2 linked regions of the Mus musculus genome follow. The protein of the gene in region 1 binds, or shares a complex with, the protein of each later gene. Links are inferred from orthologs where the notes say so. Each region holds a gene or a part of one and is shown in the gene's direction. Other genes may lie near its edges.

Evidence for each region.
Region 2: the proteins of Orc3 (region 1) and Orc4 are in contact, whole or in part, in a cryo-EM structure (PDB 7JPO), measured with the Homo sapiens proteins. The link is inferred for Mus musculus from reciprocal best matches to the Homo sapiens genes ORC3 and ORC4. Residues at the interface, in NP_036513.2 of Homo sapiens: Thr227, His260, Arg261, Leu262, Leu263, Pro264, His265, Ala266, Ser269; in NP_001177808.1 of Homo sapiens: Pro370, Lys374, Glu377, Gln381, Ser392, Gly393, Asn394, Ser395, Gln396, Arg397.

The regions. Positions count from the first base shown.
Region 1 is NC_000070.6:34,590,813-34,594,465, reverse strand, and holds part of Orc3 (origin recognition complex subunit 3), read left to right. Parts: intron 1-1,291; coding exon 1,292-1,405; intron 1,406-3,653. UniProt on the Homo sapiens protein: Component of the origin recognition complex (ORC) that binds origins of replication. DNA-binding is ATP-dependent. The specific DNA sequences that define origins of replication have not been identified yet.
Region 2 is NC_000068.7:48,935,734-48,939,386, reverse strand, and holds part of Orc4 (origin recognition complex subunit 4), read left to right. Parts: intron 1-1,858; coding exon 1,859-1,935; intron 1,936-2,524; coding exon 2,525-2,615; intron 2,616-3,653. UniProt on the Homo sapiens protein: Component of the origin recognition complex (ORC) that binds origins of replication. DNA-binding is ATP-dependent. The specific DNA sequences that define origins of replication have not been identified yet.

The DNA.
Region 1 (3,653 bases):
CCATCTTGTAGGTGCAGACAATGACCCACAGTCCTCTGGAAAAGCAGCCAGGGCTATTAACTTCTGACCCATCTCTCTAGCCCCAAAAGTTTTTGTGGACTTTGACAACTGTCATATTGCTCTTGACAATAGCCACTAAACTTAGACTATAACTGCTATAATGTTTCTGTGTAATAGCAGCATGATTACTACTGACTGCCACGCAAATCCATTCTCAGTTCCATTAAGAAACGTTTGTGATGGTTGTATTGCGTAGTAATGACAACCTGTATGTTCACCTATGAACTGCTACTACACTTTGCTACACACAGATAGCAATCTGATTTATTGACATGTTAGGAAAAAGTCTGTCACTTTGAAATTAATTATAGTCAAACGCAGTTGCCTTTGTGTGGCTATACTTTTGGTTAAAAAAAAATCTGCTAGTATAAGGTTTGATTTTCAGATGTTAAGCATCACTGTAGACCATTGAACACTAACTAAATACAAAATTTCTCTGTATTTCCAAAAAGAAAAATCTTCATTTTGTGTTTTTTTGTTTTTTGTTTTTTGTTTTTGTTTTTTGTTTTTTGTTTTTTGTTTTTTCGAGACAGGGTTTCTCTGTGCAGCCCTGGCTGTCCTGGAACTCAATCTGTAGACCAGGCTGGCCTCGAACTCAGAAATCAGCCTGCCTCCTCTACCTCCCAAGTGCTGGGATTAAAGGCGTGCACCACCACGCCCGGCTCCATTTTGTGTTATTTTATAGTACATAGCTTGCTACTTTTTACTAATTTGGATTAGTAGGGAGAAAAAAATTTTATCTGGTAAGAAAATGGTACATTTTTTGGTATCTTCTAGTGGAAGACAAAGGGTTATATATTTAATATGCGTTATTTGAAGATTAGGAATTTAATGGAAGTTTGGTAGACAACTTTGATTTAGAGGGTAGTTTGAGGATGGGAGTGGTGGTTCTTGAGAGAGAAAGGCAGGCAGATCTCTGATATATATTTTTTTTAATTTCTACTTTTATTTTTATTTTTTGGCTAGATAGCCAGTCAGAGATAGCCAGTCAGGTTTAGCGGATGAGACCCTCTCTCAAACAAACAGGCATTGTAATACAAATTGCTTTTTGGTGTTTTCAACTTTAAATAAATACGGTTTATGATTTGGTTGGCATTTGACTGTAGAAAAAAATATAGCTCTGATTGCTTCATATTTATTGTGTCACAGTATAATTTTTAGCCTAGCTATTTATTTCATGTTCACGAGGAGGGCCGACCAAGAACTCTGACTTCCATCTTGTCTCTTTCAGCTACTTCTTACACCTCAGTTTCCCTTTAAACTAAGTAAAAAGGCATTACAGGTTCTGACCAACATCTTTTTGTATCATGATTTCTCAATTCAAAGCTTCATCAAAGGAATTAAGGTAAGAAAATCTGAAATTGATGAATTTGAAAGTGTGCTGTCTAATTCTAATTAGTTAACATTATTTCAGATTGAGTAGTGTGATAACTAAGGCATTTTAGTAGCAAGATTTAGAAAAAGGAAATTGCATTTTTTTTCTAGGTTTTACCTTTCCTTTATTATGCTGAAGTCACCTATAGAAGACAGAATTAGGATTGTCAGTAATGGATGCATTCTAGCTAGTCTTAACCATTGAGTGTGGCAGAGAGGGAAAGGACTTATTTTTGTTTAGGACTTGATGAAATTGTGGTGTCTTTTTACCTAAGAAATGCCATTAACCTTTGATGGGCCAGAGAGGTAACTCTTTAGCTTTGTGTCTTGGTGTCTTTTTGAGTTGGTTAAATGATAATATTAATTACTTTTCTTGACAACTCCCTAAGTTGTCAAAGTATAGTCATTGTGAGTATATGGCAGTTGTCAGTGTCATTAAGACTTATGCGTTTTAACCTTTATATGTAAGTTACATATGTATATGTTATAACGTTTATGTGTAAGTGTCATGGTTTGTATATTCTTGGACCAGGGCGTGGCACCATTTGTAGGTGTGGCCTTGTTGGAATAGGTGTGACTTGGTTGGAGTAGGTGTGACACTGTGGATGTGGGCTTAAGACCCTCACCCTAGTTGCCTGGAAGTCAGTCTTCCACTAGCAGCCTTTGGATGAAGATGTAGAACTCTCAGCTCTGCCTGCATCATGCCTGCCTGGATGCTGCCATGCTCCCACCTTGATGATAATGGACTGAACTTCTGAACCTGTAAGCCAGCCCCAATTAAATGTTGTCTTTTGTAAGACTTGCCTTGGTCATGGTGTCTGTTCGAAGGAGTAAAACTGTAACTAAGACAGAAGTTGGTACCAGGAGTGGGGTATTGCTGTGAGAGGCCTGACCATGCTTTTATTTGAAAGAATGTGGATTTTGGAACTTTGGATTTGGAATACAGTGGAATGCTTTAAATGGGGCTTAATGGGTCATCATAGTAGGAATATGGAAGACTTTGTTGCTGGGAATAATTTGAACTATGTTGACCTGGCCCAAGAGATTTCAAAGGAGAAGAATTTCAGAATGTGGTATAAAGACTATTTTTATGGTATCTTGGTGAAGAATGTGACAACTTTTTGCTCTTGTCTGAAAAGTCTGCCTGAGGCTAAGGTGAAGAGACTCAGATTAATTGCATTGACAAAGGAAGTTTCAAAAAAGCCCAGCAAAGACTTTGTTCTCTGGTTAAGTCTTATGAAGAGAAGTTTGAACAAGCATAGCAAGCTTAGAAAGGAAAAATATAAAATATATAGTTCTACTCTTAAAGGGGTACCAAGAAGTAAAATGGAGCAAAATCCTGTGTTCTAGGAGATAATAGATTAAGGGTATGGGATCTTGGAGCAAGATCCTACCCAGCTAAATTTAGATCCAGGCATGGTGGTACACACTTTTAATCCCAGGAGACAGGCATGCTGATCTCTGCGTTCAAGGTCAATCTACAGAGCAAGATCCAGGACAGCCAGGTTTAGGCAGTGAAGGAGATGGAAAACAGAAAGCCAGTGATAATGTAATAGTACAAGGGGATCATTTTCTAGTTCCTGCAAGCAGCAGAACTTGGCAGCTTCAGCCATGTGGCTCTGGCTCTAGAGTTAAGAATAGAAGAAACTACTGGGACAATTTATGCTGGGTAGCTGGAGCTAAGAAATTAGCAGTGATTAAGAAGAGACCAGCATCACTGAGGTGAAATCTGGGAATTGTTTTCTGGGAGCGCAAAGAAGCTGTGTTCCAGAGATAGCCAAGTTTGTACCTGGTGCTGCAGTTGGACTTGGTAATGTGTAAGAGTCACCCAGGTGGTACTGGTTTTGAAGGCATGAAGATGTCATGAAGAACAGCTGAGGCTTGGCATTGTGAGAGGTCATGGAAGGCCATTGGAGAAGGTGCAGCCTCAGTTGTAGTTGATGGCCCAGGACTGAAGGGGTCATACAAAAGATTTGAGGTGTGGCAACATGAAGAGAACCTATGAAAGGCTATTGGTGAAGTTGAGTTGGAGTGGAACACCCCAGTGTATTGGAGATGTCAGTACCATAGGATGATCACCAAGAACAACAGCCGTAGTGGAGTGGATCAACCTGAGCTTAGAGTGCTACAGAGGGCAGAGCTGGAGAAGTGATGCCAGCCCTTAAGAGGAGTTGAAAAGATCAAGTGGAATCCCAGACACTGAAACAAGAAGCTGTAAC
Region 2 (3,653 bases), on another chromosome or scaffold:
AGACTGTCACCATACTTTGCTGATACCCTTTACCAATCTGAGCAAGTCTTTTTATATTTTTAGTTTGTTGAGGTTTTTAATATTAAATGTTTGTTATTATCTTAAGCATGCTAAGTGTGTAGATATGTGTGTTTTCCATATGAAGTCTACAATCTGATAGGTAATTGCCATGCTAATTCTACCCTAACTTGGATCTGCATTGACCTCAGCCACATTACTTTTAAAAAGCAATGTTAAATTTGAAAGACTTAAAAACACTTTTTTTTTCTTAAATACATGTATATGTGTTAGATATGTGTCTCTAGGCCAGTAAGGGTTGCTAAGTATCCTCCTCTGTCATTCTCCAAGATATTATTAAATGAGGTCTCTTGCTGGACATAGATCTTGCCAGTTGGCTAGACTGACTGGGCAGCAAGCTCCATAGTCTCCCATCTCCACTTTCCAGGTCTGGAGTTACTGGCATGAGCTTGTTGTGCCAGGCATTTTATGTAGGTGTTGAGAATCTGAACTTAGCTTCAGCACAGCAAACAATTTATCAACTGAGCTATCTGCTCAATCTTGACCTCATTTTTCTTTTTTAAGAAAAATTACTGCTTAAAAGATAAGAAAGATAAGGAGCTCTTTTTTTTTTTTTTTTGTATGTAAAGTGGACGGTTCTTCCAATTAATATTATATTAACCTTGTGGATGATAGATATAATTCATTGATTCTTTAGATGTCTAAAAATCCATTTTAGTGATTAATGGGAATCAACTATTACTCATATAATTCCTATATTGTATTATAGATAATACTGCTTTAATCTTCAAAATAGGCCTGACAGAAAAGTGTTAATTCTCTATTTAGATGTTTAGATCTGAAAAAGACTTGATCTTTTAATGTTGACTTAAATGACTCCTTTGACACTAATTCCATTATTTGTGCTTCATCTAAAATAATAAACATGAATCATTAACTTTATCCTTTTATATGTGTTTAAAAAAATAACCCTCACTATATCTTTGGTACTTTTAGACTCTGAAAGCAGAGTCTAGACTTCTAGACTCTGTCTTGAAGCAGCAAAGAATGCTACAGTCTTTATTCCAGCACATTTGTTCAGGTCTTAGACAGCTACCTAAGGATTGTCCTTGAATGATTACTCTAGTAGCACCAGATCCAGAAAAGGAATAATGGTTTTAAGGTTTTTCTTCTTTTAATTCATGTATTTATTTTTGCAGTTATGGTGACAGAAACCAGGGTCTGAACATATATACTAGGCAGTATGTCTGTCATGGAACTACATCCCTGGGTCTAATTCTTTATTCTATAGTCTAGTTAAATGTCGTTTCTTACACATAATTAAATACTGGCTTGTAGATTGAACTAGTTTTGTTTTGTAGTTTGTTATTTGAATTTATATTTCTGCCTTTTTTGCAGTGACTTTTAAGCTGTGAATAGTAACCTTGTAGTGTTTCTGTGCTCAGAATCTAATGGATATTTAAACCTACACAGATCTCCAAGCTTAGTTTCCTGTGGAATCTTGACCTTTAGGGCAGGTGGTCCAGACTGATTGTTATGACGCCAAGACATTTTAGGAGAGACTGTGTGGTTGCACTGGCACTGTTAGGTTAGATTGCTTTGCCCGTGCACTGAAACAGCTTTTGAGTTGGTGATGTAAAGAAGTAGTTCTGCCATTCACTGACGTGACATCTCATTATTTACCTGACACTAGATAAAAGAAGAATCTATTTTTATAACTCAGAAAAATGGTGCCAGAGCAGTTAGTATTTAATTCCTGGCTGCTACAAATAAGCTTTAACATTCACTTTTATTACATGTGTAATATTTTTATTACATCTGTTCATCTTATGTTTATCAGGTACAAAGAATTTTACGTGAAAGATTTTGTCATCATAGTCCACATAGCAACCTCTTTGGAGTGCAAGTACAATACAAGTGAGTCTGATATCAGCTCCTCCATTATAAGTTCATTTTCATTTCCTCTCTGAGTTTTGAAAAGATAATATGCATTATCTTAAGTTATGATGAAGTTATGTTTTATATATAGAAACAATATTGTAAAACAGGAACACATGTAAGTACTTAATGTCTCATAATGTTATTGATAAGGACATATGGTCCCTAATACTTCTTTTGTGTTAATTACCTGCTATTATTGAAAGAATTCTGGTACTTAACACCTGGTAGCCAGCTCAGGTGATAAGGACCAAAGTGCTAGCAAAAATAATTCTCTCTAAGCCTAGAGGACCTAAAAGTTAGCTTAATTGTCCCTTATCTTCTCCCACTATGAGACCAAATGAATTCCCACTTTCCTGGATTTCCTTTTCTGGTCTCTAGAGAATCTCTAGCGGCTAATGTTCTTTTCTGTGTATTTTCTATATGCAGGAAAATTTAGATCCTTTGGGCTAGAGAGCCAAAAGGGTAAAATTAATACTGACTTTCAGGTTTAGCCTTTTAAAAGTATGACCCAATAAATTATTTCACCTTTTTTTTTTATTAATTCTGCCTTTCCGTATCATTTTAGGCATTTGATTGAGCTACTCAAAAGAACTGCTATCTATGGAGAAAGCAATTCTGTACTCATTGTTGGACCACGAGGATCAGGAAAGACCACAGTAAAAGACTTAAGTTTCTCATATATCATTGCTTTAATACACATTTGAAGTTTTTATATCAGATACACTAAAAATGTTTTTCGTTTTATTGTCTTGCAACATTCTTTGTTTTCTATTCCTTTTAAATGACAAAATCCATGCAGGTATTCTACAAAGTTAGGTTGTGGTATGGGAGTTGATCATGCTTTTTATGTTCTCTGCTTGGTATATTGCCCTATACTGGGGCAGGGATTTCAATCCTCCCATCTGCCACTGAGAGTATAAGGTCCATGCTTCCATACATACATGGGCTCTGAGGGTCCCAACTCAGGACTTCACGGGTCATCATCATACAGTGATTCCCCACAAGCATTTTTACCCCTTTTTACAGTTTTCACAGTTTTACAATTTATTTTTAACCTTCAAACAAATCTTTCATGTCAAGGTCATCAGTATTTATGTCATATTTCTCTTCTTCTGACTTAGTTAATCTCAAAAATTCTTCTCCCTCTCATCTGTTCCTTTTTACAATATACAAAACAAATACATCAACATTTGAATGTATTACTATTAAATTTTAATGTGCTAAGTTGTATAAATTGTATTTTTCTAGTATTCTGTAATAGCAAATTAATATTTTGTTCAGGCATATTATTATACCTTAAAAATAGTTAAGATAGTAAATTAAAACTGTTTCTATTTTTTAAAATAGTACATGTTGGTTCTATATTATGTAAGATGAAGAATTTTTATTTATACTACCATTTCCATTTAAAGAACATAACTTGGTAATTGACAACTTTATTACTGTTTCAAGAATTTATACATTTCTTATAAGATGTCTTACTCTAGCCTGCTTTGGTCCTCCTGCTTACTTGGTATAATTTCCAATTCTTTGCCATTTGTTGTTGTTTGGTTTTTATAATTTTCTTTTGCTTTAATTTAACAACTTTTTTCAACAGAAGAACTATGTAAAATACATTTGTGGTTTTGATTGTTTTCCTTAATGTATCTACTGCCTGGGGTTATAGGCTTCCTCACAGGTGTTTTTGTTTTTGT